Canis lupus familiaris: one gene and its partners. The protein of the gene in region 3 purifies or fractionates together with the protein of the main gene of each other region. This does not show direct contact. Links are inferred from orthologs where the notes say so. Each region holds a gene or a part of one and is shown on either strand. Other genes may lie near its edges. The genes, in order: POLR2G, RPAP1 and POLR2M.

The links.
Region 1: the proteins of POLR2M (region 3) and POLR2G purify together in Homo sapiens (affinity purification with mass spectrometry; 4 studies listed by BioGRID and IntAct, counting the BioPlex papers as one, with this or other methods). This does not show direct contact. The link is inferred for Canis lupus familiaris from reciprocal best matches to the Homo sapiens genes POLR2M and POLR2G.
Region 2: the proteins of POLR2M (region 3) and RPAP1 purify together in Homo sapiens (affinity purification with mass spectrometry; 3 studies listed by BioGRID and IntAct, counting the BioPlex papers as one, with this or other methods). This does not show direct contact. The link is inferred for Canis lupus familiaris from reciprocal best matches to the Homo sapiens genes POLR2M and RPAP1.

Annotation. Positions count from the first base shown.
Region 1 is NC_049239.1:54,433,276-54,442,843, reverse strand, and holds POLR2G (DNA-directed RNA polymerase II subunit RPB7), read left to right. Parts: upstream 1-3,473; 5' UTR 3,474-3,675; coding exon 3,676-3,687; intron 3,688-3,806; coding exon 3,807-3,916; intron 3,917-4,871; coding exon 4,872-5,031; intron 5,032-5,764; coding exon 5,765-5,815; intron 5,816-5,910; coding exon 5,911-5,976; intron 5,977-6,072; coding exon 6,073-6,144; intron 6,145-6,341; coding exon 6,342-6,375; intron 6,376-6,590; coding exon 6,591-6,604; 3' UTR 6,605-6,811; downstream 6,812-9,568. UniProt on the Homo sapiens protein: Core component of RNA polymerase II (Pol II), a DNA-dependent RNA polymerase which synthesizes mRNA precursors and many functional non-coding RNAs using the four ribonucleoside triphosphates as substrates.
Region 2 is NC_049251.1:8,860,884-8,870,668, reverse strand, and holds the start of RPAP1 (RNA polymerase II-associated protein 1), read left to right. Parts: upstream 1-4,890; 5' UTR 4,891-4,975; exon of another isoform or gene 4,976-5,243; intron 5,244-5,981; 5' UTR 5,982-6,057; coding exon 6,058-6,238; intron 6,239-6,496; coding exon 6,497-6,645; intron 6,646-7,129; coding exon 7,130-7,219; intron 7,220-7,806; coding exon 7,807-7,927; intron 7,928-8,947; coding exon 8,948-9,169; intron 9,170-9,785. UniProt on the Homo sapiens protein: Forms an interface between the RNA polymerase II enzyme and chaperone/scaffolding protein, suggesting that it is required to connect RNA polymerase II to regulators of protein complex formation.
Region 3 is NC_049251.1:23,179,618-23,189,380, forward strand, and holds the start of POLR2M (protein GRINL1A), read left to right. Parts: upstream 1-4,203; 5' UTR 4,204-4,337; coding exon 4,338-4,450; intron 4,451-6,632; coding exon 6,633-7,280; intron 7,281-9,709; coding exon 9,710-9,763.

The DNA of each region.
Region 1 (9,568 bases), on a different chromosome or scaffold from region 3:
AGTCTGCTTCTCTGACCCTTACCCTGCTTCCAGAAGCAGAGAGGAAGCTCTCTTCCCTCTCGCTTTCTTTCTCTCAAATAAATAATCTTAGAAAGAAAATAAATAAATAAACACCAGAAGAAATTTCATACTTCTAGTAGTAACTGTCCCCCAAGGAAAAAGCTTGTAAAGCTTTGCTTCTATGTGTTTGAGTATTAGTCGAAGTTAGAAAAACATCTACCATTTATTTAGCATTTGTTAAATGCTTAACAGTGTGCTAAAGATATAATCTAATTCTGTAATAGCTTTTCCTCTCTCCACTAGACAGAATGACAGCTTCAGCTTCATTAAGTAACTTGGCCAAGGTCACACAGGTAATAAAAGGCAGAGCTGAGATTGAATTTGAGTCTGCCTTCAAAACTCTAGCTCTAACTATTCTGTAGAATCTATCTTCCTAGAGTATCTGCAAGGGGGTTCTTAGGGTTGTTGTAGAACCAATGGCCAGAGGATTTAGACTTGGATTCGGTGCAGGATTATCCTAGCTGTTGGAAGAACTGGTTGCACAGTAGGTGGAGCCCAGAACCAGGAAGGGGGCAGTTGGGATGGATGATCCTTGCTCAGAGATTGCCCTCCAGCAGGACCTGCTGCTTCTGTTTCTCTTTAGGAAACAAGTGACAGATATCACAAGGGCTCCTCTAAAAAGAGATAGCAAAAGATCACTCAATCCTCCAGTAGACTTTTTAAAACTCTGAGCTTTTTATTTTATTTTATTTTATTTATTTTATTTATTCATTCATGAGAGACACACAGAGAGAGAGGCAGAGACACAGGCAGAGGGAGAAGCAGGCTCCATGCAAGGAGCCCGATGTGGGACTTGACACCAGGACTCCAGGATCATGCCCTAGGCTGAACGCAGGCGCTAAACCACTGAGCCACCCAGGCTGCCCAGTAGTCTTTCTTTGTATGCCTAATCTCAATACAGTTGATTGTTAAGTCATTGCTGTTTTCTCTTTCTATCCTATCTTGTCTCTCTCTGACCTTGAAGCTTTGGAAGCAAAGAGATCAAGGCTTGGAGAAAATTTATCATGGCCACCCCATGCCTGGGGAGCTCAGAGACAGAAAGGGTTCAGCCACTCTTGGCTGACAAAATCCAAAGGCAGAGAAACAAGTGGTGGTGAAACAAGAAAGGAATTTATTTCAGGGAGACCAACACTGGGGAAATTAATTAGCATCTCAAAGACTGTCTCCAAAGTGCTGAAAATACCCCTAGGTTTATACAAGGAAAATGCTGGGCAAAGGTGGGTGCGTATGGGCAGGTAGGTGGAGGTTAAATGGATCATTGTCTTGCAGGCAATTGTGGGTGGGGTTTTGCTGGCTCAGGACTGTCCTTTCTGCTTGAGGGGTAGTTTTGGTTTCCCTCTAGAGATGGTTTGCCCTCAGGGTCTCTGCAGGAGCCCAGAGACTAGCTGGAATGAAGAACTCAACAAAGTTTGAGGTCAAAATGGAGGCAGCCAAAGCCCTCTTGTACCCTGGGAAGCCATTAGGTTCTAAGATGGGGAGTGACATGATTCAACTTGAATTTTGAATACATTACTCTTGGCAAATAAAGATACAAAAAGATGTTCAATATTATTAGTCATTAGGGAAGTGAAAGTTAAAACTACAATGAGATACTACTACACAGTAGATAGAATAGGTAAATAAACCCTGCTAACAATACCAAGTGCTGGGGGATCCCTGGGTGGCGCAGCGGTTTGGCGCCTGCCTTTGGCCCAGGGCGCGATCCTGGAGACCCGGGATCGAATCCCACATCGGTCTCCCGGTGCATGGAGCCTGCTTCTCCCTCTGCCTGTGTCTCTGCCTCCCTCTCTCTCTCTCTCTCTCTCGAATAAATAAATAAAATATTAAAAAAAAAGTACCGAGTGCTGGTGAGGCTACCGGAGTAACCGGAAGTCTTATACCTGCATATGCAATTATATTTTACCATACCACAGAGGCACAATAGGTGTAAAGAGCATTGATAATAGTAAACTGTGGTAAAATAATTAGGAAGAGATGAAGTTAAGATTTTATTTTACTTTTTTAAGAAGTCTCTCTATGTGGGGCTCAAACTCCCAACCCCAAGATCAAGAGTCATATGCTGTACCAACTGAGCCAGCAATGCACCCCAGGAGGTGATGGCTCTTGTAGCTGGTTCTAGCACACCACTGTCCTTAAGATTGCCTTTAAGGGGAGGATGGCTGGGAAAGAAGAGAGGAAAAGTCAGGACTGCTGAGGCCCATTCATCTGCTTCCTTGCCTGATCTTTCTTTTTTTAAGATTTTATTTATTTATTCATGAAAGACACAGAGAGAGAGAGGGGCAGAGAGAGAGAAGCAGGCTCCACGCAGGAAGCCCGATGTGGGACTCCATCCTGGGACTCCAGGAACTCGCCCTGGGCGCCCCCAGCAGGGGCCAAACCGCTGAGCCACCCAGGGATCTCCTTGCCTGATCCTTCAAAAGGGATCCCCATGGAGTTTTAGTGGCAGACTGGTGGGATCAACTATTCCAGGAAATGGACAGTGTCCATACGAACTGGTATGTGACAGTTCTGAGGAAGCAGACGTGAAGTGTCTGTTCTTGCTGTAGGGTGGGTCAGGATCTTTTATTTACAACATAAAAAAAAAAAAAAAACCACCATAAAAACCTTACTCAGGCAACTGGGAGTTTGCTCAAAGCCTTAAGGATTGTCCGGCTCTTAAAAAAAAAAAGAAAAAAGGATTGTCCGGCTCTAGAACCAGCTGCCCTGGCTGAGCCTTACTCATGGGTCTGTCTCATGGTTTCTGCCTCTTTCTGCATGGCCCTTTTATCAGTCAGTCTCAACAGGGAATAGATTGCATTATCACTCCGGTTAATTGAGGGGAGTTTAGCAAAGCGACTGTCTACAAAAAAGTGGGCAGAGTTGAGGGAACAAACCAATCAATTCTCTAAGCCCCCCATGCGTGTGTGTCAGCGGGTTGGGGGGAAACGGGAAAGAGGAGTGCAGTGACTTGGTTTCTCACACCGGAGGGAGGACTGACTCCTGGGCTCTGATTTTGGCTGCTTCATCTCCTAACTACCTGCAGCAAGGAGTGGGGTGCTCCATTTTATTGAACAAATGACTGCATGAAAATCTGGAATGTCCAAATACGCAAGGGTCTTGGAGGTCAGACACTGCACATTTGAATCGTGACCCTCAAGTGACCTCAACTCTCTGAGCCTGGTCCCTCATTTGTAAAGCTTGCCTAGTGGTGTTGCTATGTACATGAAATGAGATAAAGACAGCTCCTTACGATGCTTACTATGTGAAGGCAGCCTTCAAATATTTGCCACACGAATGCGTTCTGCTAAAGCACTGTATTCACGTTGTCTTTTATTAGCTAATTAATTCCGTTTAACAGTATATCGCGCATCCCTCCTAGGCCAGGAAACTGTTCATTTAGAAGAGCCAGCATTTGCGCCGCAGAGGACCTGGGCCGGAAGGGCGGGGCCTCACCGATTTCCCGCCCACGACAGCGATGACCAATTGGGTCCGCGAAGGGAGCGGAGTCCCGCCCACTTGGCGGGGACAGGCCCGGAAGCAGGGTTCCGGGGGCGGTGCGTGTTTCCGGTTGCGTGAGAACCGCGGCTACCACCGAGGCAGTTTGGGTTTGGCTGCTGTCCGGTCCCGGCTGGGAGGATGTTCTATCACGTACGCGGAGCACGGGGTGGCCGCGAGGGCAGGGTTAAGAGGAGGAGCGAAGCGGGGCTCCGGGACGAGGAGATGCTGTTCCTCGTCCTTGCTTGGTCTCCATGCCGCTTTCCCCGCAGATCTCCCTGGAGCACGAGATCCTGCTGCACCCGCGCTATTTCGGCCCCAACCTGCTCAACACGGTCAAGCAGAAGCTCTTCACCGAGGTGGAGGGGACCTGCACCGGCAAGTGAGTCCCGAGTGCTTCGCGCCGCCTGATCTGCAGCCTCTACCCAACTCCTACTCATCCTGCAAGCACCTGCCACCTGCCCCCTGCCCCGGGGAACCCTCTCACCCTCTCAGGCACCCGAGGCAGTCACTTGCTTCCGGCCTGGGTTCCCGAGGTGCCCTCTGGATCGCGAGACTTACTTCAGCAGAGACTGGTCATTCGTTTACTCCGCAGACTTTTTTTTTTTTTTTTTAAGATTTTATTTATTTATTCATGATAGAGAGAGAGGCAGAGACAGAGACACAGGCAGAGGGAGAAGCAGGCTCCATGCAGGGAGCCTGATGTAAGACTCGATCCCGGGATTCCGAGATCACACCCTGAGCCGAAGGCAGGCGCTAAACCGCTGAGCCACCCAGGGATCTCTGGGAATCTGTGTTTTAAGAAGTTCCTCTTAGGTGATTCTGAGGCATCCTCAAGATTGAAGTCTCTTGGCTTAAGGACTGCAGTCTCCTTGGACATTTATTGTGAAACATGAGAGCAGTGTTTGGCATTATAGATACTGATCGGGGATCCCTGGGTGGCGCAGCAGTTTGGCGCCTGCCTTTGGCCCAGGGCGCGGTCCTGGAGACCCGGGATCGAATCCCACGTCGGGCTCCCGGTGCATGGAGCCTGCTTCTCCCTCTGCCTGTGTCTCTGCCTCTCTCTCTCTCTCTCTGTGTGTGTGACTATCATAAATAAATAAAAATTAAAAAAAAAGTTATAGATACTGATCTGTATTCTTCTCCCAACATGAAGTTCTGTGGGCAGGGGTGCCATCTATTTCCCTTTGTGCCGTCCCCTGACCCCCATCATCACTGATTTGTTGTAGATGATTTTATTTTTTTTTATTTTTTATTTTTTTGTTTTTTTTTTGTTGTAGATGATTTTAGAGGCTCTTGCACACACGATGCCTTTCTTTTTTTCATCCTCCTTACAGGTATGGCTTTGTAATTGCTGTCACCACCATTGACAATATTGGTGCTGGTGTGATCCAGCCAGGCCGAGGGTTTGTCCTTTATCCAGTTAAGTACAAGGCCATTGTTTTCCGGCCCTTTAAAGGGGAGGTCGTGGATGCTGTTGTCACTCAAGTCAACAAGGTGAGTCCATACATAGTGGAGGCAGTTGGGTGGCTGCTCAGAAGATGGGGGATGGGTCCCAACTGCTCTTGCTAACTCTGTGTCCTTGGGTAAGTCACTTTTGCTTCAGTTTCTACACCTGTCAAATGGTGCAGAAACCTCCCTTGGGGTCCTGTAAGTCAGTATGAGTTGTCAGCAATAGTAGTCTCCATTCATTGAATACTTATTATGGGTTGGGTAAGGTCCAAAACCTAACGGTGACTAAGGTCATGCTTTTATCCATTTTTATAGAAGCTTACGCCTGGAGAAGTTAGAAGTTGTCTAATGGCCAAGGTCATGTGATCAACAGGTGGTCAGATTGTGGACCGACAAGTGCCAGGCCTTGGCTCTTTAGTGCACTGTATTTGCGTAACTTGAAATGAAATCTCAGCAGAAGAGACATGAAAGCAAATGATACAATTCAGAGTGGATTCAAAATATGAAGAATATTATTAGGAATTAGATAAAGTTGGGAAGCTTAGGTGAATTTGAGGATAAAAGAAAAAGCAAAGTCGAGGTGCCTGCCTGGGTGGCTCAGTCGGTTAAGCAGCCGCCTTCGGCTCAGGTCATGATCCTGGGATGGAGCCCCGCAGCCAGCTCCCTGCTCAGCAGGAATCTACTTCTCCCTTTCACTGTCTATACACGTTTGCTCTCTCTCTCTCTCAAATAAATAAAAATTTAAAAAGAAAAACAAAGTCCCCCATTGTCCTCTTAGGTTGGACTTTTCACAGAAATTGGACCAATGTCCTGCTTCATTTCTCGACATGTAAGTCTGGGCGTGCTGGGGGTGCTAAGGAGAGAAGCCAGTCATGACTCTCTCTGGAAGCACTCCTGTAAAGCTCTGTCTTGCTTTCCTTTCAGTCCATCCCATCAGAGATGGAGTTTGACCCCAACTCCAACCCACCATGTTATAAGACAATGGATGAGGTGAGTGGGGAAGAAGTCCATGAGAAGGACGAAGAATGAGCCCTCCAAGAAATTTTGGCTTGTAGGTATCTGAGTATCCTGTTTACTCTTCCTCAGGACATTGTGATTCAGCAGGATGATGAGATCCGCTTGAAGATTGTGGGGACCCGTGTGGACAAGAATGACATTGTGAGTCTCTTGCCTACCTTCTTACCTGTACCAGGCAGAGCTGGCAGCTGTTGATTTTCTTACCATGCAGGGTTCCTGGGGGTTTTGTTTTCTTCTGCCAGGAAGAGGGGATGGGTGAGCAGAAGGCCTGGGGCTGGGCTAGAAGTTAGTTCTATGCTTGCTTAGGCTCTGTTTCCTTTCTGCCTTCCCTCCTGCAGTTTGCTATTGGCTCTCTGATGGACGATTACTTGGGTGAGTGCCTGATCGTGTGTCCAGGGTTGTTGCCTAGAAAGGGGTGTGTGGAGGCAGGGGGTGGATGTGGGACTTAATGCTCGAGTCACAGATGAAAGAAACTCTTATGACTGTCTGCTTGGAAGATCGGGACCTGTGCCTCATGAGATGGGAAGTGCATGGTGATGGCTGCCCCGAGCCTGAGCCTAACTGGTGTGCTTTTCCTGTCCTTACAGGGCTTGTGAGCTGAGCACCGGGGCCTCCTGCTCTGTTTGGTCCTCATCTAGGAGCTGTGACGGTCATGCTCCGCATATCGTCCAGAAGCCTAGTCTGGTTGCTGTGGGGAGGCAGAGAAGGTTCCTTGTCCACAGAAAATATCTCGTTCTTCTTGATGCTTAGCCACTCCCCAGGTTTTTGACTGTACATTCTAACCATAAAAGGTCCTTGTTCTCATGGAGGTTTCATCTCCTTTCTTTGGTAAGAACAACTCTTTCTTTGAAAAGGCTGGAGGCCAGTTGCTTGCTAGCCTCCCTTTTGGTGGCCTGCTGCCTCAAGTAGCCTCAGCTACCCAGGGGATCTGACTATCCCTTCTGCAGAGAGCTACCACTGACTTCAGTGAAGGGAAGGCCCTAATGTTAGGTCTTTGGCTTCTAGCAAATGGCATTGTCATTAGAACCACTCTGAGTCCTGATCTAGTCTCAGAATATTCGCCCTGCCCTCGCCTTTACTAGTAGCCAAAGGTAGAGCTGGGCATGAGGGAAGACAAGATAGTGAGGAGGGAGAGGGAAATAAGAGGATAGTAATGACCCAGACTATGGCTTCCCAATGCAGCCCTTCCTAGGAGGGATCTGCAAACATTTTTTTTTTTTTAAGATTTTATTTATTTGAGAGAGAAAGAGACAATATAGCAGAAGAAAAGGCAGAGAGAGAGGGAGAAGCAGACGCCCCATGGAGCAGGGAGCCTGATGTGGGGCTTGATCCCAGGACCCCAAGATTGTGATCTGAGCCGAGATCATGACCTGAGTCAAAGGCAGATGCTTACCCAGCTGAGCCACCCAGGTGCCCCAACAGAAGTCTTTATATATTAATCAGTCACTAAGCTGAATTGAAAATGTGAGCGGGCCCAAACTGTCATTAGGGTGACATAAACCAAAATCTATGAAATGACTGAAAGACTAAATAAACACACTACCCTCCCTCACAGTGTGCTCACACTCTGCTTTTGTAATACAATTTGTCTGTCTTGGGATGTCCTCTCCCAGCCTGTCTGCTTACTGCCTGTTACTCTAGCAAGTCTCAGTCAATTCTTTTTAAAATTTTTTTCAGCATTTTTGTTTCCTTGGAAAGTAGAGCTGTGTCATAGAAAGCGTGGTCTTTGAATTGGTGCAGAACTGGGTTCCAGTCCTAGCTGGGGGCCTTATGTTTTCTCATTAACCCTCTTTGGATGGTTGCTGCTAGTGTGAGATCACATGTACAAGTGGCTTGTAGAGAGCCTGGCCCATGATAGACCCTCAACTGTTGATTATAATAACCATGATATAATGCATATAAAGCAGTGATTGGGGATCCCTGGGTGGCTCAGCGGTTTCACGCCTGCCTTTGGCCCAGGGCAGGATCCTGGAGTCCCGGGATCAAGTACCGCATCGGGCTCCCGGCATGGAGCCTGCTTCTCTCTGTGCCTGTGTCTCTGTACCCCCCTCTGTCTATCATAAATAAAATAAATAAATATTTAATAAATAAATTTAAAAAACTGATTATCGGGGCATGTGGTTGGCTCAGTGGTTGAGAATCTGCCTTTGGCTCAGGTGGTGATCCTGGGGTTCTGGCGAGTTCCCTATCAAGGCTCCCTGTGGGGAGCCTACTTCTCCCAAATGTCTCTGCCTTTCTCTGTGTATCTCTCATGAATAAATAAATAAAATCTTAAAAAAAAAAAAAAAGAAGCAGTGATTATCAACTGGTGACAACTGTGGATGGTACTGCCTTCTAGTGGGTAAAGGCCAGGGATGCAGCTAACGTCCTACAGTATATAGGACAGCATCCACCCTCCCCCCAACAAAGAATTATCTGGTCCCAAATGTCAATCATGCTAAGGTCTAGAGACCCTGATATGAAGCATCCAGAATATTGGCAGGAACATGGTAAGAAAATGGCACTTGAATGTAGTTTTCTTCCTGCCTTCACCATCCCTGCACAGACTGATGCAGGCTTTTCCATTTATACCTCTACAGTGTATCACATAGCATGTGCTTTAATTACTGTGTCCTGTTTGCTTTTCCTAAATTATTTATCTCTTTTTTTCTTTTTCTTTTTTTTAAGATTTTATTCATGAGAGGCGCGGAGAGAGAGAGGCAGAGACACAGGCAGAGGGAGAAGCAGGCTCCACGAAGGGAGCCCGATGTGGGACTCGATTCGGTGGCTCCATGATCGTGCCCTGGGCTGAAGGCAGCGCCAAACCACTGAGCCACCAGGGCTGCCCTCTCTCTCTTTTTTTAAAACTATTTATTTATTTATCTTAGCACGAGTGGGAGGGGGGAGGGAGAGAAAGTCTCAGCAGACACGTCACTGAGCGCAGAGCCCGACTCTGGGCCCAATCTCATGACCCTGAGATGACCTGAGCCGACACCAAGAGTGGGATGCTTAACGGACTCTGCCACCCAGGGGTGCCCAGGTGGCTCAGCGGGTGAGCGTCTGCCTTCACCTTGGGGTGTGATCCTGGAATCTGGGGATCAAGTCCCTCGTCAGGCTTCCCAGGGGGAGCCTGCTTCTCCCTCTGCCTGTGTCTCTGCCTCTCTCTCTCTCTCTCTCTGTGTCTCTCATGAATAAATAAATAAAATCTTTAAAATAATATAAAATAAAATTGTGCTATCACTTTGTTGTACTATGAGTTGATTACCCAGGTTGTAGGGACTTCCCCTAAGCTGTGAACCTCACTCCTCGCACTGAGCAAAATTCTTCCCATGCCCTCAAATGGAACTAGTAATCTGCAAATTGTGTTGGGGGTAACCTGAAAGTAACATCAGGCCTGGAATAGAAGCAACTGATGGACAGAAGGGGCTCATTGAACATGAGCACGTGGGTGGCAGTGAGGATGTGGGGTGTGACACCCACTAAAAGGGCACCAGCCTTGTGGGGAAAGGGATCAAGTGCGGGTGGCCTGGACATAGTCTGCAGGATTCATATCTTTTAAGGTTTTTTTTTAAGATGTTATGTTTTT
Region 2 (9,785 bases), about 14 Mb from region 3:
CTCTCTCTCTCTCTCTGTGTCTCTCATGAATGAATGAATGAATGAATAAATAAACAAACAAATGCAAACCCAGACACAGGCACACATACACGATGATGGGGTCTATCAAAGGGTTAAATATTTTGAATAAATAAATTACTTGGGAGTATAGACAAATCTCCCATGCAGAAGAATTATAAAAAAATTTATGTAGATATTCCACTCTTAAGGAAGGGGTAGTATCCCTTCACATTCAAGTGTGGGCCATGCATAGGGACTTCCTTACAAAGACGATGGGATGGAAAGCAGAGGTAGGGGAACTAAGTTTACAGTGGAAAGATCTGAATTTCTTCTGCCAGGTGATTAGGAGATTAAGGTTAGCACCAACAGTGGTAAGTCATTTTGATAGTAGGTGCCCCTGATACAATGTGATAAAAATGACATTTCAGCTCTATGTTCTTCCTCCCCAAAACCCATAATCCCAGTTTAATCATGAGAAAAACATTAGGCAAATCCTAGTTGAAGGATGTTCTGTACAATCCTACCAGTACTACCTTAAACTGTCCAAGTCATCAAAAACAAAAAAAAGTCTACAAAACTGTTACCATTAGAGGCATCTGAGTGGCTCAGTCAGGTGAGTGCCTGACTCTTGATTTTGGGTCCAGTCATGATCTCAGGGTCCTAACTAAGATCCAGCCCTGTGTCAGGCTTTCCATTCAGTGGGGAGTCAGCTTCTCTCTCTCTCACTCTCCCTCTCCCTTTGCCCATTCTCCTGCTCATGCTCTCTCTCTTTTTCTATGAAATAAATAAATCTTAAAAAAAAAAAAAAAAAAGCAAGCCTGTCACCACCAGAAGAAGCCTAAGGAGACATGACAATTAAATAGTCTTGATGGAATAGAGAACATTAGGATAAGGTTGAGGAAATCTGAATAAAATATGGACTTTCGTTAGTAATGAGGTGTCAATATTGGTTCATTAATTCTTTTTTTAAAAAGACTTATTTATTTATTTGAGAGAGAGGGAGTGCATGTAGGAGCAGTGGGAGGGGCAGAAGAAATCGGAGAGAATCTCAGATTCCCCTTGAACTAGGAGCCTGAGGTGGAGCTTGATCCAAAATCAAGAGTCAGATGCTTAACCAAGTGAGCCACTCAAGTGTCCTGGTTCAATAATTCTAATAAATGTACTGTATTAATGTTAGATATTAAAAACTGGGACTCTTGGCTGGCTCAGTAGGTTGAGCATGTGATTCTTGATCTCCATCTCAGGGTCCTGAGCTCAAGCATCAGGCATAGATCTTACTTAAAAAATGGGTGAAGGGTACCTGGGTGGATCAGTCAGTTAAGTGTCTGCCTTCCACTCAGGTCATGATCTCAGGGTCCTGGGATCAAGTCCTGCATCCGGCTCTCTGCTCAGCGGAGAGTCTACTTCTCCCTCTTACTCTCCCCTGTTGCTCTCCCTCAATCCTTCTCTCAAATAAATAAATAAAATATTTTAAAAAAATGGGATGGGGGTGTCTGGCTGACTCAGTCAGAAGAGTATTGACTCTTGATCTCAGGGTTATGGGTTCAAGCCCTACTTTGGATGTAGAGATTACTGAAATAAACTTTAAAAAAATGGAGGGTGGGCAGCCCGGGTGGCTCAGCGGTTTAGTGCCACCTTCAGCCCAGGGTGCGATCATGGAGACCCGGGATGGAGTCCCACGTCAGGCTCCCTGCATGGAGCCTACTTCTCCCTCTGCTTGTGTCTCTGCCTCTCTCTCTCCTCTCTGTGTGTGTCTTTCATGAATAAATAAATAAAATAAAATAAAATAAAACATAAAAATAAAAAATAAAATAAAAAAATGGAGGGTGCCTGGCTGATTCAGTCAGTGGAGTGTTGACTCTTGATTTTGGGGTTGTGGGTTCAAGCCCCATTTTGGATGTAGAGAAAGATTACTTAAAAGTAAAATCTTCGGGGTTCCTAGGTGGCTTGGTCAGTTGAGCCTCTTACTCCTGATTTTTGCTCAAGTCATGATCTCAGGATTATGGGATTAAGCCCTATGTCAGGCTCCGCTGTGGGACTGCAGCCTGCTTAGTATTCTTTTCTCCTTCTTCTTCTACCACTCCTTTCCCCCCACCCTCTCTCAAAATAAATAGATAAAAATAAAATCTTTTTAAGAAGTGAGGAAACTATGTTAGGGTAAATGGAAACTCTTTATAATTTTTCTGTAAATTTAAAACTATTCTAGGGGCTCCTGGCTGGCTTAGTCAGTGGAGCATGTGACTCTTGATCTTGAGGTCATGAATTTGAGCTTCACATTGGGGGTTGGAGATTACATTAACAAATAAATACATAAAGGGGTACCTGGGTAGTTCAGTTGGTTAAGCCTCTGCCTTAGACTCAGGTCATGATCACAGAGTTCTTAAACCCACATGGGGCTCCCAGCAAAGAAGGGATTCTGCTTCTATCTCTCCCTTGCCTCTCCCCCTGGTTCATGCTCTCTCTCTCTCAAATAAATGAATAAAATCTTTTTTTTTTTTTTAATTTTTATTTATTTATGATAGTTACAGAGAGAGAGAGAGAGAGGCAGAGACACAGGCAGAGGGAGAAGCAGGCTCCATGCCCCGGGAGCCCGATGTGGGATTCGATCCCCAGACTCCAGGATCGCGCCCTGGGCCAAAGGCAGGCGCCAAACCGCTGCGCCACCCAGGGATCCCCAAATAAATAAAATCTTAAAAAAATAGATAAATGAAATCTTAAAAGTATTCTAAAATAAAGTTTATTTTTCAAAAAAATATCTTCATATTGAATAATTTAAAAAAAATCCTTATTATCATATAAAACCCAGTTTGTGTTTAGTTTTCCCCAATAGTCTCAAAAAACATCTTTTTACATTAGGCTTGTTTGAATCAGGATCCAAACAAGGATAATATATATATTTATTTATTTTTTGCATCTTTTTTTTAAAGCTCACATATTTAACTGATAGTCTCTTATGTATTTATAAATCTATAAAAGGTCCCCCTTCTATCCTGGACAGGAAATTTAGAGAAGAAACTTGGTTATTTGTAGAATTTTCCACAACTGGGGTTTGGTTCATTGTATTCTTGTGTTATCATTTAACATGTTCTTCTATCACCCATATTTCCTGTAGATTGGTAGTTAGATCTAAATCCTTCACTAGATTCAAGTTCAATTTTTTTGGCCTGAAGGCTTCTTGGGAGATGTTTTGTACTCCCAAATGCATCAAATCAGAAGCAAAATATGTCCAGTGGTCTCACTTTTAGCTGACCCCTTGATGTTCATAAGTTGGCAACCTGATCCATCATATGTAAGAGCCTCATCGACCTTTCACCTAATAGTTTTATCAATCATTGATGATCATTGCCTGGAGCGATGATTTTATTAGGGGTTGCAAACAATGATTTTCTACTATCATTCTTCCAGCATTTTTAGCTCTAGTTCCCTTTCCTCACTCCCCATAATTTCTGACCAGGTCCAGTACTATTTTGGATCCTAAGGATGGCTAAAGCCTAGTAACTGAAATTTACTGCTGCAGTTGTGACCAAGAGAACTAAAGAAAGATTCTATAGAATTCCTGGGAGCTTTTAGAAATGCATATTTTTGGATCCTGTCCAAGACTTACTGAATCCTAAAGTCTTGAGGGTGAGGCCCAGTAATTTGTTTTAACAGGCCCTCAAAGAAACAAACAAAAAAACAAACAAACAAAAAAACAAGCCCTCAAGGTGATTCTGATGCCTGCTAAAATTCAAGAACCGATGGACTAACACTGGCTGCCCTAAGATGGCCTTCAGTCAAGCAATGATTTATTAAAGTCCTAAATTCATAGCAACATCCTGGTTGCTGAGCACTACTGATGCATAAAAGAAGGCCTGGTGCCCCCAAGGAACTCACAGTCTATTCAAGAGAACAGCACAGAGGCTAGTGAAAATGTGACCAGTGATAGCTGATAATTGGCAGTGCATTCCCAACAAGCCACACAAGTGGTAAAGTGGAAGAGTCCAAGGAAAGCTCAGTGAATAGGCCTGGCTGACAGAGGGTTTGTGTGTGTGTGTGTGTGTGTGTGTGTGTGTGTGTGTGTGTGTAATATTTTATTTATTCATGAGAGACACTGAGAGAGAGGCAAAGACAGGCAGAGGGAGAAGCAGAGTTCTTGCAGGGAGTCTGATGCGGGACTCAATTCCTAGACCTCAAGATCACCACTTGAGCCAAAGGCAAATGCTCAACCACTGAGCCACCCAGGTGCCCCCTGGCAAAGGTTTTAGAGTACACTCCAGCTAGGACTTAAAGGAAAAGAAAGACTCTGTGGGTAGGAGGAGGGAGAGAAAAAAGGAAGGATTTCCAAGAAAAGACATTTTCATGAGCAAAGGCAATCAGGCTGTTTCCTTCTCTCTTCTCACTAATACCATTCCTACAGCGTTTCTCGCCTTTCCTTTCACATGCTTATCTTCTTGCTCACCCACAAATCCAGGGGGGCGGTCATCTTGGGTACTGCCCATGGGTTTAGGATGTGATCATCCGGACTGGTGAGCGCAGAGGGGCGTCTGAAGTACAGTTTGCCTCTGTCACGGGTGTCGTACGTGCAGAAGAGCCTGTGCCTGCTGTACATCCGAAGGATGAGTGTTTTAAGTGTCAGCACAGAGCTTACGTGGTGGGGTAGAGCAGGAACTAGCCGTATTTCTCCGGCGCTCAGGGTCCCCCGCGCAGGGGCACCCGGCTGGCTCAGTCGGAAGAGCTTTTGCGACTCTCCAGCTCCGGGTGGAGCTGGGGCCCTACGTAGGATATAGACTTTACTTAAATAAAAAAAAACTTGGAAAAAAAAAAAAAGGGGTGTGTGCATGTGTGCGTCCTCGCGCTAAGCGAGCAAACCCCAGAGGGGTGGAGCCAGGCCGGGGAGAGGCGGGGCTGGGTTGCGGGGCGGAAGCCCCGACCTGGTGACGGCGGAAGTCCGGCCCTTGCGGGGCAAGATGGCGGAGTCCAGGCGGCCCTAGGGCAGGTACGGGGCTACGCTGGAGGGAAGGACTTCAGGGTTCCCCGGCGCAGGGCTCTGCTATAGGGTATCCAGTTCCTTTGTCGGAGCTTCCCAGAGTGTCTTTGCTTTGCACTGGAGTGGCCGCGGCCTCTTCGGTGTGGAGATCCCGACTACGGCCTTCCATCCGCGGGGCTGCTTGAGCTGAAACTCGGTGATTTCTCTGCTGATTCGGGTGGTCCAGAAATGTATGCGACCGCAGAGTCCTAGGGGCAGTTGTGGGGCTCGACAGAGTGTAAGTTTTGTACTTCTTTGGTGAAATTTATTCCCAAGTGTTTTACTCTTTTTGATGCGATTGTAAGTGATACTGTTTTCTTAATTTTTTCTGATTGTTCTTTTTGTTGGTGTATAAAAATACAGATGATTTTTATATGTTGATCTTTCTTAGCGCAAGGTTGTTTTGTTTTGCTTTTTAATAATTTGAACACCTTTAGGCCAGGCATATTCTCTCAAATTTGATACAGAATCATTAGTCCCTGGTATGACATTTATCTGCCTGACTCCTTTTTTTTTTTTTAAAGATTTTATTTATTTATTCATGAGAGACACACAGAGAGAGAGAGAGAGAGAGAGAGAGAGAGGCAGAGATGCAGGCAGAGGGAGAAGCAGGCTCCATGCAGGGAGCCTGACGTGGGACTCGATCCTGGGTCTCCAGGAACATGCCCTGGGCTGAAGGCAGGTATTAAACCGCTGAGCCACCTGGGCTGCCCTATCTGCCTGACTCCTGATGCCCTTTTTCTTAGGTTCCCTACAGTTGTTCCTGAGAATTTTTATCATCCACAGATTGTAAAGAACCTTAAGTTGGCAGTAAATATTGTTAGGCTGATGACATCCAGGAGGGGTAAATAGGGAATAGCAGTAAGGTATGAATGAGAAGGAATGAGTTGATGTGAACCTAAGAAGTATCTTCTCTGATGCACAATAAAGAATCAAGGTTCAATTGCAGAGGGCCCATCAACTTTATTGCTTATAGGGGTGAATGAGAGGGAATCCCCACACCCAAGCAGTGTTGGAAAGAATTGCACAAGAGAAGTAGCTGGCGTGTCAAGATGCTGTCGAGACCAAAGCCAGGCGAGTCAGAGGTGGATTTGCTGCGCTTCCAGAGTCAGTTTCTTGCAGCTGGTGCAGCTCCAGCAGTACAACTGGTGAAGAAAGGAAATAGGAGAGGTGGTGACACTAACCTGGACCAGCCTCTGCTGCAAGATCATCGGGATGTGGTGACACTGGACAGTGAGTGGCTGAGGAGGAGAGAGGGTATGGCCTCGGGATCCTCTCCCTCTTCCTGATGTGGCTGGATTTTCCCCCTTCATTATTTCAGATACTGTGTAGCCTCTGTTGCTGCAGCCCCATTTTGCATGTGAAGAGACAGTGGGTTCACAGAGTTTAAATATCTTGTCCAGAGTGACACAGCTTGGGCCGGGGCTTCATAGCTGCCTTTCTTTCTTTGGTTTCCTCCTACCCTCACATCTGTTTTTTTTCCTTTTTCAGATCTCCCAGATTCACCCCCAGCTTTGGTTCCTGCTCCTTCAAAGAGAGCTAGACCCAGCCCTGGCTGTCTCCTACCAGAACATGAGGACCCTGAAGAGAGGCTGAACAGGCATGATCAGCACATCACTGCTGTCCTGACAAAAATTATTGTGCGTCTCACCCTGGTTGGGTGGGATGAGGCATCCTAGGCAGCAAGGATTTTGGTTGGGGGTGGTGAGCTGTATGAGTAGAGGGTGATTCAGAAAGGTGGGACTTAGGGGTGCCTGGGTGGTTCAGTCAGTTAAGCATCTACTTTCAGCTCAGGTCATGATCCCAGAGTCCTGGGGTAGAACCCTGCATTGTGCTCCCTGCTCCTTGAGGAGCCTGCTTCTCCCTCTCCCTATGCCACTTTCCCTGCTTGTGTTCTGTCAAATAAGTAAATAAAAATCTTAAAAAAAAAAAAAAAAAAAAAAAAGGTGGAACTTTATGCTCCTGCAGTCCATTTGGGGCTGTTTTAGAATCACTGTACTCAAAAAAGGAAGATGGGTCCATGACTCCCTAGAGATTCTAGTCATACAGAATTGGGGCCAGTAGGATAGTGTCCAGCCTGGGGAAATCTTAATATCTTCACTCCTTTGTGCTTTGTTGCTGCAGGAACGAGATACAAGTTCAGTGACAGTGAATCTGCCTGTGCCCAGTGGTGTTGCTTTCCCTCCTGTGTTCCATCGCTCACAGGAGAGACAAGTAGGCAAAGTGCTTAGATGGTACCTGGGAGACATTAAGTGAGCCTCATAGTGCATCTTCCTCAGGCAGATAATCTGAATAATAAGCAATTTTCTTGTTAAGGTAGCACCATGCTAAACCTGGGTGGCTCAGGGGTTGAGCATCTACCTTTGGCTCAGGGCGTGATCCTGGGGTCCCAGGATTGAGTCCCACATCAGGCTCCCCAAGGGGAGCTGCTTTTCTCTCTGCCTATGTCTCTGCCCACCTGACCCTCCCATCTCATGAATAAATAAAACCCTAAAAAAAAAATCCTCATAACAACCATGTAAGATAGATATCATCATCCCCATTTTTCAGGTGAGGAAACTGAGACTCTGAAAAGTTAAGTAAATTGTCCAACACCACACATCTAATAGAAGAGCCAGAAATCCAACCCAAATTTGTCAGATTTCCAGACCAGTCCTCCTATAGAGCCCTGCTTTTCTGAGGACTAGGGTTGTGATCCTTGGAGATTAAGCAAGTCCTTTTGTTCCAGTAGCCTTAGAGAAAAGAGGTTAAGAAATGACCAGGGTAGTAGTAGTCACCTGGGTTTCCTTTTTGTCTCATAGGGGAGGTCAGCAATATCTGGCAAGAGAAGCATCTTTGCCCAAGAAATTGCAGCAAAGAGAGCATCCGAAGCCAAGGTTCCACCAGTTAGAGAAGTTGTATCTTCCCTGGATCCACCAGAGGGTAAGCTGGGGTGGAAGAGGCTTGGGCAGGGCAGCCCCAGTGGCTTAGCGGCTTAACGCTGCCTTCAGCCCAGGGCCTGATCCTGGAGACCCAGGATTGAGTCCCATGTCCGGCTCCCTGCATGGAGCCTGCTTCTCCCTCTGCCTGTGTCTCTGCCTCTCCTTCTGTGTCTCTCCTAAATAAATAAAATTTTAAAAAGTGAAAAAAAAGAAGAGGCTTGGGCTTGGCCTTTTTGTAATACATAATCGTAGAGTCACTTTGTGGTATATGTCTTCCCTACATCAAATATGAAGGCATATTTATTTTTTTTTAAATTTTTTTTTTTTAATTTTTATTTATTTATGATAGTCACAGAGAGAGAGAGAGACAGAGACACAGGCAGAGGGAGAAGCAGGCTCCATGCACCGGGAGCCCGATGTGGGATTCGATCCCGGGTCCCCAGGATCACGCCCTGGGCCAAAGGCAGGCGCCAAACCGCTGCGCCACCCAGGGATCCCTTGAAGGCATATTTAGATGGCATTTGAGCCATCTAAAGAGGAATCTGTCCTTTATCCCCACTTACAGGATTGAGTTCGGGTGGTTTGGGTTTATATCTGGGTCTTAAGTACAGGGAGAATGCCGGCTGTTATTCTACCCTAGGAGAAAAGAAAGAGAGGTGTCTGGCAGAGACTGTAAAATAAAGATGAAAGCCAAGATTCCTTTAACAATGCAAAATATTAGCAAAAGAGCTAGGGACAGGCTTCTGGAGGCAGATGGCTGCCTGAACATCCAAGGGAAGAGTCAGAAAGTAGGATATTTCTTAGGGAAACATCCCTCAGGAAGGGGAAAAAAATGAGTGGAGAGGTCACCACCCAATCCAACCTGTGTTTATGTTATGGAGGGTAGGGGGGAGGTGTCTCCATGCTGTGCCTAGGAAATCTTTGGGGCCTCTGTCTGTCTCCAGAGCTAATAGGATTAGGGAAGAGGGCTAGAAGGCCCAGTTGGGATGAGGCGATGAAACTGATCATATACTTCTTCCAGGTGCTGTGTCCTATGAGGCACTCGCACCCAGGGAGCAGGGCTGCCAGCTTCCATGGGGCAGCCCTGGCTTCCAGGGACCCCATCTGGTCACAGGGAAGGGGCTCAGGAGCCAGGATGCTGAGCAGGAAGCCCAGACCATCCATGAAGAGAACATAGCAAAACTGCAAGCCATGGCTCCTGAGGAGATCCTTCAGGAACAGCAGCGGTTGCTGGCTCAGCTCGGTACGGCATACCTGGCTTTCCTCCTGAGACTGGGCTGGGAAGGGACTGCTACTTGCTGATGAAAGTTTACTGTGCGTGCCAGGCATTTTACTATTTGCATGCATTATTACATTCTGTCTTCAAACATTTCCTCTAAGGTAGGTAGTACTAACTTCATTTACTTATTTAAAAAAAAAAAAAAAAAAAAGAGTCTCAGAACTTGAAAAAACTCTTTCCCAGGTCATATGGCTGGTAAGGAACACGGATGAGATGTAAACCCAGGTTTATCAGGTCTAACGGGCCCTGCTCTCAACCACTGTATCATGTATGCTGTGCTAGTGTAGTGTATGCTAGATTATAGCTGGTGCTCTCTGGCACAGTTATGAAATGTCTTGGTATAGCATGATATAGCAGAGGTATAGCATGCTAGAGCGTGCTATACCTCCTTCCTAGTTTCTGTTCACCAGAACAGTAGCACCAAGTCAATCTTTTCCAGACTGTGTATCTAGCATCTTCATAGAGCATACGTAGATTAGGTTTCAGTAAATATTTGTAAATAAATCATCTAGAAGTGAGATAAATTGTTCCCCTAAATCCCTTCTCTTGGCCCCAGTCAGCATTTATTCATTTATTCCAT
Region 3 (9,763 bases):
AGATCATAGCTGGAGGGATTAACCTTGATTAATGCTCCTGTTATTACTGCTGTTCAACAAACCACCCTTTAACCTTAAAGTTTAAAAAAAATGATTTAATTATGCCCTTGAATTTCATAAGTCAGGAATACAGAAAGAGCCTAGTGGGTATATCTCTACTCTACAATGTCTGGGGCCTCAGTCTGGGAGCCTGGAAGGCTGTTCCAGTCAGGAGCTAGAATCATTCAAAGGTTTATTCACTCACATATCTGGTGGTTAATACTGCCTTCTGGCTGAAACCCCAGTTTAGGCTGACAAAACACCAAACCCCACACAAACTCAGGTTTCTGCATGGCTGACTTACTTCCAAGAGTAAGAACCCCAAGAAAATTAGGCAGAAGCTGCATCACCTTTTACTATGAAGACTGAAAAAAATCACTTTTGCTCTAGTTATAAGCATGCCCAGATTCAAGGACAGGGAAGACCAACCCCATTTTTTTTTTTTTAAGATTTTATTTATTTATTCATGAGAGACACACAGAGAGAGAGGCAGGCAGAGACTTAGGCAGAGAGAGAAGCAGGCTCCATGCAGGGAACCTGATGTGGGACTCGATCCTGGGACCGTGGGATCACGCCCTGAGCCGAAGGCAGATGCTCAACCGCTGAGCCACCCAGGCATCCCCAACCCCATTTCTTGAGAGGAGGAGAGTTAAATTCACATAGTAAGCAGAACATGTGGGATGGGAAATAATTTTGCTGCCATTCTAGTGGACCTGACGCATACCATGGCCAGTTTTGTGGCCTAAAACCAGTGGGAGAAAACAGAGGAGCAGCCTGGAGAAGATTCTGAGGATCTGTGCTACTAATTTTACAATTGATTTGTAATTTTTATCTTCAACTACCTAAGGACTAATGGAAATCTTTCCCAGGTGTTTTTGTTTTGTCCTTTTTTGAGAGAGCACATGAATGGGGCACGGGGGAAGAGAGGGAGAGGAGAGAATTTTAAGTAGGCTCCAGCACCCAGCACAGAGCTCCATGTGGGGCTTGATCTTAGGACCCTGAGATCATGACCTGAGCCAAAATCAAGAATCCAATGCTTAATGGACTGAGCCACCAGGTGCCCGTTTTTGTCCTTTTAAATTGCATTCAAACAACACTCTTTGCAGTGTGGTGGCAATGGAATGGCTAAGTCATCCTGGCAACACTTCACATAATGATGAAACTGTCCTCTCCTTTAATTCTTCATTTTGACGTTTTTTCTTGCTAATAGCCAAATTCATTAGTTTACTGAGGATGATTAATACTCTGAAGATTAGTCCAAGTACCACTGGAAAAGTGATTTATTTAAAGATGTCATCTATTTATTCATGAGAGACACAGACACAGGCAGAGGGAGAAGCAGACTCCATGTAGGGAGCCCGACGTGGGACTCGATCCCGGGACCCTAGGATCACACCCTGGGCCAAAGGCAGCACTAAACCGCTGAGCCACTGGGGCTGCCCAACAATTGGAATTCTTTAGCAGAGATTAGGGATTGTTGGTTTGTGGGCTCCATTTCTTTTCAAGTATTTGGCTCTGGCTGGAGACTGTTAAAACCAATGTCATTCACAGTTTCCTTCTTTGTTAAATTTCTCCATTTTATATCATTTCTCCCCAGACACTGCTGTTAAAATCTGTGTTCTAAACTTACCTTTCATTTGTTTGTTTGATGGTTATAAAAGAATACTTTGCCTCTTTTCGTTCTGAAGTGCAAATAGCCCGCTTTTGTTTTAGGGTGATGTTTTCTCACTTGCCAAACCTCTTGGTTACTGATGAGAACTAGATTGTGCATCGGTGCTGTTAGAAATTCAGATTTGTATTAGGACATCTTGAAGTTCTAAGCTATGTTGTATAAAAGATTCTATCACATACCACTGAGAATTCACAATCACTATGGTTGATACTTACATAAAAAGCTTAAGATTTGTATATACGAAAGAGACATTTCATTAAGAGGAGCATGAGAGGAAGGCTATGAGAAAAATTGAGAGACAGATTCCATCAACTAATACCTGCGATATACATTAGAAGAGACAGAAAAGTACAAACATTAACTCCCTGAGAGAATTCCCGGACTTCACAGTTTTGTTAGGAAAAAGAAATCACCATGCATAAGACAATTGGAGAAGCAGAATATGCTTCAGAGACTGAGGTTTGAGCTCTAAGAGGTATAGTTATGTTCAAGAGCAAGAGCAATTTGGGGCTGGAATAATGTAGAAAGGCTTAGGGGGAAGATGAGGCTTGAATTTAGATTTATAAGGGGCTAGAGGAGGATGGTAGGGGGCAAAATTCTGAGTCTTGAGAGAAAGGCATCCTTGCCTGGAGGACACCAGTGGCCCAGGACCAGGAGGGTTCACTACCGTGGGGTTAATAAAGGCCTCCAGCTGTGGCTCAGGGTTAGGTTGAGGGAGGCTTTGGGGGAGCTTGCCAGCAGACAACTCCCTGACTCCAAGGTCTTACTCAAGTATCTGCTATATAGCTGGCGGAGCAGGTTCTTCTTTTTTTTTTAATTTTTAAAATTATTTATTTATTCATGAGAGACACCAAGAGGCAGAGACACAGGCAGAGGGAGTAGCAAGCTCCATGCTGGGAGCCTGACGTGGGACTCCATCCAGGGTCTCCAGGATCACACCCCAGGCTGCAGGCAGTGCTAAACCGCTGCGCCACCGGGGCTGCCCTGGAGCAGGTTCTTGAGGTCTTTGCAAGCAGGGCTTATGTTGAGAATTTGGATACTTTACTCTGATCAGAATGGACTAGCTTGGGACAATACAGAAATGGCTTCAACTGTATCCCTGGAGTAGTTTCAGATTTTATCTAAGAGCCTCTATCTGATTGGGAGGGAACAGCTCTATTTATTACAGCACTATACACAGGATTGAGAAAATTAAAGATTTTCCATATCAGAGAATGGGGGGAGGTGGTGCTGGAGGTTATAGGGGTGCCCAAACCCCCCAACCGTTACGTGTTGTGACTCTTGCACGCTTTTCCTAGTTTTGCTTTGGGACACAGCTCTGGTAGCTGAGCTGTAAAGACAAAGTCAGAGCCACCTGGGATGCTTCTTACACTGCTCTACTCTTAAGATTCTTAACAACCTGAAAAGAAAAAAAACAAAAACAAAAAAAAACTTTCAACAGTTTTAAACATTTGGAAATAGGCGGAAAAAAAAAGAAGATTTTTTCCAAACGGGTGTGGTAGAAAGAGTAGCTGGGCATTGGAGTGACATCTGGTGCGGCCACTTAACTAGTTTTGTGCCCTGGGAATACCTCATTGATTTTGCGCCTCTGCTTTCCCACGGGCGAATTGGGCAGTTAGGAAGGATCGGTTTCAGGCTGACTTGTCCGGCACCTGCCACCATCACCTCCGGCGGATTCTGGAGGGGCCTGTGTACCTGCGGGGCGGGCCGAGGGTGGGGTCGGGGGGCTGGGGGGGGGGGGGGGGGGACTGGTAGAGGCGTCGGGGATTGTTCCGAGCTGGGAGCTGCACTGAACCAGAGGGCGCAAGCCAGACACATAAATGTCCTGCTCCGAATGCCACTGAGTCCCACTAAGAAACGCTGATAGTCACGAAAAATCCCTCCAACTTAGTTTGAGGACCTCACTAAGCCCTGGCCGCCTGGGCCCCGTCCGGCACACTCCCCCGGCTTCACCAAGGGCGAGTTTCCACTTCCATCCCACTTCTCAGAAGGCACCTGCCGGGGGGGGGGGGGGGGGCTTCTTTTTTCTTTTTTAAAAGATATTTATTCGTGAGAAACAGAGAGGGGCAGAGACACAGGCAGAGGGAGAAGCAGGCTCCCTGCAGGGAGCCCGACGCGGGACTCGAAACGGGGTCCCCAGGGTCACGCCCCCGGTCGAAGGCGGCGCTCACCCGCTGGGCCACCCGGGCTGCCCCTCTTACTGCTGTTTCACCATTACCTGATTAGTGTCTGCCTCCCTCCACCCCTCGGTAAGCTCCACAACGGCAGGAGTCGGGGACACGTGTTGGGGGGTCACAGCGGCGCTACAGGCAACACTTTTCGAATAAACCTGAAGAGCCGAGCCGACGAGCCGCGAAGAGACCCCCGGCGCCAGCGCGCCCCGCCCCCTCGGCTTACGTAACTTCCGCCCCTCCCCGCTCCTCCCAGCGCCCCCTTCCCCTCGCCTGTGTTTGTTTCCGGTGTTTCAATAAAGCTCGATTCGGCTCGAAGAAGCCCCGCTCTTCCGGGAAAATGGCGGCTCCCGCTCGTACCTCGGAGTCCACGCCGGCGGCGGATCCGGCGCCAGCAGCGGGGGCTGCCGAGGGAGCCGAGTGCCCGCCGCCGCGCCAGCCGCAGCCCCCGCAGAATGTCCTCGCTGGCCCGCGGCTTCGAGCCCCAAGTTCCCGAGGACTTGGGGCGGCGGAGTTTGGCGGAGCTGCGGGAGATGTTGAAGCGCCAGGAGAGACTTTTGCGCAACGAGTAAGCTGGGGTCCCGCCGAGTCACCGCCAGGCTTCTCCGGTCGGGGCTCCCTGGGACGCGTTCGTTGCCCTCCCCCGCGTCGGGTTCCCTGCCCTGGAAGGTGACCTTCCCTCCGTCAGACCCGGGGGTGCCGCCGGCCCGCGGACGGCCTCCCGCCGCACAGGCGGCCGCGCGAGGGCCCAACGGCCGGCTGCTGGAGTCTCAGCTGTTCCCTGAGTCCTCCGCGGTGCTAATGACCTTGCTACCCCGACGGCTCCCTGAAGGGAGGGGCCGTGGCCTAAATCCCGTGGCACCTCCGCCTCCCTTGCCGCCCGGACCGGGCCCAGGACACCGGGTCAGTTCCGTCTCGGTCCCGTTCCTACGGGAGCTGTAGGAAGGAGAGGGAGAGTCTGGAGTGCTGCATTAGGCAGGAAAAGTTTGTCCCCTCCAGCTGGCCGACTTCCCTTTAGCAGGTGAACAACATAATGAGAGTGATTTTTTTATTTTATTTTTTTTAAGGACGCTTCATTTAGCAGATCGGTGCAGGATGGTTTTGGAGGAATCCGAGGCAGGCGACAGCTGGAGGTTATTTTCAGAGAAGTTCCCAGCAAGGGGGACTGTAGAAGAGTAGTTGTCGGATTGGGAAAACTCCGACCAGGCGTGGAATAATCGGGGTAGGTAGTTGAAAGGGATGGCTGAAGTTCCCAGCCTGTAGGGAGGACCACTGGTAAGAACAGGAAAATTGGGGAAGAGCTCCGAGGTTGAGTTTACTCGGGGGGTGCTGAGTTGGACAGGGAGTTAGTTAGATGTACTTAGAAGATAGAGTAGGGGGACCCCTGGGTGGCGCCGCGGCTCAGCGCCTGCCTTCGGCCCAGGGCGTGACCCCGGAGACCCGGGATCGGGATCGAGCCCCACGTCGGGCTCCCTGCGTGGAGCCTGCTTCTCCCTCTGCCTGTGTCTCTGCCTCTCTCTCTCTCTCCCTCCTCTCTCTCTCTCTCCTCTCTCTGTGTCTCTCGTGAATAAATAAAATCCTGGGGAGGTGGGGGAAAGCTAGAGTAGTGGTCATGAGGATCCGGAGAGAGAAGGCTGAGGACATGTAGGAATCTCAGCTGGAGAGGGATTCGGTGTTGTAATTGTGGGAAGGAATGTAATGTGAGAGAATGGAGAGCCAGAGGTGTAATCTATCTTCCCTCCGTTTCTAATAGAGATTAAAAAAAAAAAAAAAAAAAGAGAGAGAGAGAGAAACTGAAAAGGAATTTCTGTCAGTCAGCAAAAGGGACAAATGACCATTTGGGAGCTTTCGAGTAGGTTCAAGTACTTTGTGAGAATGGTTTTTTAAATCTATAGCAGCGAGTTAACCTTTTGGTCTCAGGACCCCATTTATACTGTTAAGACTTAAGGAGCGTCCCAAGGAGCTCTTGTTTTACAAGACACATCTACTGGTGTTTTACAAAACATCTACTTACAAAACATCTACTGGTGTTTATTGGTGTGTTAGGAATTACAGGTGAGAAGGGCACTTGGGTGGCATCATCGGTTAAGCGTTGGATTCTTGGTTTTGGCTCAGGTCGGGATCTCGGTGGGGAGATCAAGCCTGGCGTCGGCTCCAGGAGTCTGCTTGGGATTTTCTCTCCCTCTGCCTTTTCCCATTTGTGGTCTTGCGCTCACTCTCTTCCCAAAAATAAATAAATTAGAAAAAAAAGTAATTACAGGTGAGAGATCTTTAAAACACAAGAATACACAGTGATTAGCCATCAGAGCAGTATCACGTGGCCTCTGGAAAACTCCCATTATACCCATATGAGAAAAGGAGCATGGAAATGGCAAATAATGGTTTAGTATTATTATGAAAATAATTTTGACCATGCAGACCCATCCACGTCCCCTCCTTAGGAAGGCCTTGGACATCACACTTTAAAAACTGCGAGTTTTGGGGTGTATTATAGGATATTATGTGCTTAAAATACTTTTGCTGAAATTCTAATTAGACAGATGAGGAATACTTATTTCTGCATCATGTATTTTTAGAGTATTTAGATAATGCGTTTTACTTTATTCCTGTTCTGATGCAGTAGGAAGTCAGATTTTTGGCTTAAAGATAGATTTTTTTTTCCCTTTGAGGATAATGCTTTTGTCTTTGTATCTCAAGTTTAAAAACATGATTCTAACAAATACATGTGTGTTTTTTTCCCCATTTAACAGAAAATTCATTTGCAAATTGCCCGACAAAGGTAAAAAGATCTTAGACTCTGTTGCCAAACTGAAAGCTGCCATTGCAGAATGTGAAGAAGTTAGAAGAAAAAGTGAACTGTTTCATCCTGTTAGTTTAGACTGTGAGCTAAAGCAAAAAGCAATTGCAGTTGTTGATGTGGACACAGATAAGGCCCAGAATTCTGACCAGGTACTTGATACTTCATCACTAGTTTGTGGCTCTTCCTCTGTAAGTAACATCAAGTCATCTCAAACAACCTCACAGCAACAGGGACTTGTACATCCTTTTGGTGAAAGCTATGAAGAAGCTCCAGAAGTGGAGTACACAGTGAATAGGTGCCCAGCCTCCAGCAGCAGAGCCCGTGCACCTTCCTCTTCCGAAGCTAATGTGCGTCTCCCTCAACATCGGGTTTCACGTCAAGCAGAAGATAATTCTAGCAGCTCTTACAACCTGTTTATTGATAAGTTACAAAGGATCACAATTGTGGACCCGGGTGAAGGGCACTCAGAAGAGAGCAGGAGTGCTGAAAACTTGGGAAGGCTCCGTAGTGGGGCACAGAAGAAGCCTCATTACATGGAAGTGCTAGAAATTCGAGCCAAAAACCCAGTGCCCCCAGCACATAAATTTAAAACTAATGTGTAAGTACTATCAGAAACAGGCTGGTCACAGAAATGTACTATTTGTTAAACCAAAAAAAAAAAAAAAAAAAAAGGAAGGAATGCTTTCAGTTCAGTGGACTTTGTGTGGGACCTCCTTATAGTTAGGAAAGAGCATATTGTGGAAACAGCCTGGCCGGAGTGGAGGATTCATGCTGAAAAATACTTTAGGTTTTTAGCCAAATTGGATAGGTTTCACATAGCAGGTGAAGTATTAAATTTCAGGATGCTTAGCCAACATTTGATATTAAACCCAGAGTTGAGAATTTATTGTGACTATTTTCCACAACAATTGTTTGTTATGCAGTTCCCCCTTTGATTAGACTGTAAGCTAAGGGGAAAAAAGCTGATGGACTTGTCATCAAAACATATTAGTATGCTGACTATATGTAAGCAGGTGGTGCTGAGGTGACACAGAAGTAAAGGTCCTGCTCCTCAGGAGTTCAGGGTCTAGATGAAAACCCAAGGCTTCCACACTTGGAAGAACTTTGAACTAGACCATAACAACTTGAGGGGGAAGGTAGCTGAGAAGGGGTTAAAGACACAAAAACATTTGAGGCAGGAGGAGCAAACCTTGCTTCTGAGTTCCTCGCCATAGTTTTGTTACTGAGATCTGCAGAAAAAGAGAAGCTCTTTGAAGAAAAAAGGATGTTACTTCCTTGTGTGCAGATGTAACATTCACCTCAGGGAGTAGCCACTGGTATCCTACCTGTCTGACTTTAGCAGGGTATAACATCATATACAAAGTGGAATCACTACTGCCTGCCTTTGAAAAACTGAAAACCTCTAGTTAAAAATACCTAAAACTTTCAAAGAACTATAGAACTATTACAAAAAAACTTTCAAGTTCAACCCTGCCATTTTTTTTAACTTGAAAACATTTTATTTACTTCTGTATAAAAACCAGAATTATAGAACATTAATTTTTAGTGAGGAACAAAAAGTAATCTTTGTACTCTTTCTAAGTAATCTCTCATCTTGTGTTCAGGGAGGTACATTTCCTTACCTCCAGGAAGCTGGAAAACCTAAAGCATCATGTAGTCAGTGGATACACTGATTGTGGTAGTGTGGTCATTTAGCTGGAAGTCAGAGTGGGGAGAGCCAGATGCTTCTTGTCAGAGCAGATCGGGAAAGGCTGGGCCTGGATGAGTCTGTTAGGTGTTTGTCGAGGGATTCCAAGAATGAGCAGTTTTTGGCTTTTTTTCTGCTCTTCCTTTGGCCTCCTCCATGCCATGCTGGCTCCATGTACCGCCTGGATGCTGGTGGCTGCCCCTCATCTCCCTCTAGCTTCGGTCTTTATAGAACTTCAGATTTGCGTGGCCAGTTACCAATGAAACCTGGCCCTGTGGGTGTTTTGTGGCACTTTAGATTTATATATAGCATAGAACTTTTACTTCTTCCCATGCTTTCTCCCATATTCCCTAAATTCATAGTGTCAGCACTTTGTTTTTTTCCCTAAGGTGTCTTGCTTTTGCCTCATCTCTGTATCTGCCAGCTGTAAAGACCTACATAATATATTTCGTTGACCTTTATCTCTGATCATTCTTATTTTTGTCCTCCTGTCAAAACGAAGGCTCTTATCCCTCTCATGGACTATAACTGGCATGTTTTGGATTCTAGTCTTAACTCCAGCAGTCCATCCTCTCCACTGCTGTCAGAGTGAAATTTGTACAATGCAAATCTGAACCTATTATATAGAACAGAACTCTTCGCTGAGGACTGGGCCTGGTGTACTTACCAGCCTTACCTCGCTGCCTTTCCTGGCCACCCCACCCCCTGAACACCCTTTGTGCAGCACCATGTTGGCCCTCACTCCCTGTTGGGATGCCTTTTCCCCTCATTGACACAGTGAGCATTTATTATTCCAAGACTCCTCAAAATTCACTTTCTTAAAGCTTTTCTGACAGCCCCCTCCCCCGTCTCCCAATAAAACTGGTCGTTTACTTTATGTTGCACTGTGCCAACATGTATAGTATGTATACCACCTCTATGTATGGTATTATCCAGGTGGTATTGTGTTGCACAGAAACTGTCCGTAAGTTTTTTTCCCTTTACTGGACAGCAAACCCCTTCGCAAATGTTTTTTGAATGAAAAGATGGAAAGACGGCTTCAGTTCAAGTGTAAGGTTGGAGGAGTGAAGGAAAATGCAAAGAACTTACCAGTCTACCTATTTGTTGAAACAGTGGATTGTCACATTATTCTCCAAAAAGGTGCTAATTTACATACTGGTTTTGAAGTATGTTTAGAAACAGGATTTTTACCTACATATATAAATACTGGTAAACTCCTTACTATTATCTTTTTAGGAGAATTCACTGCTAAGGTTGAAGGCCACTTCTGTGTGGGAATGTTGTAAATGTGTGTCTGTAAAAAGAAAGTAGTCCGCTGATACAAATTTCCCCTCCTTCAGATTACCTTCGCAACATAATGATGAATCTGCATCTAGCCATTGGCAGAGAAGAGG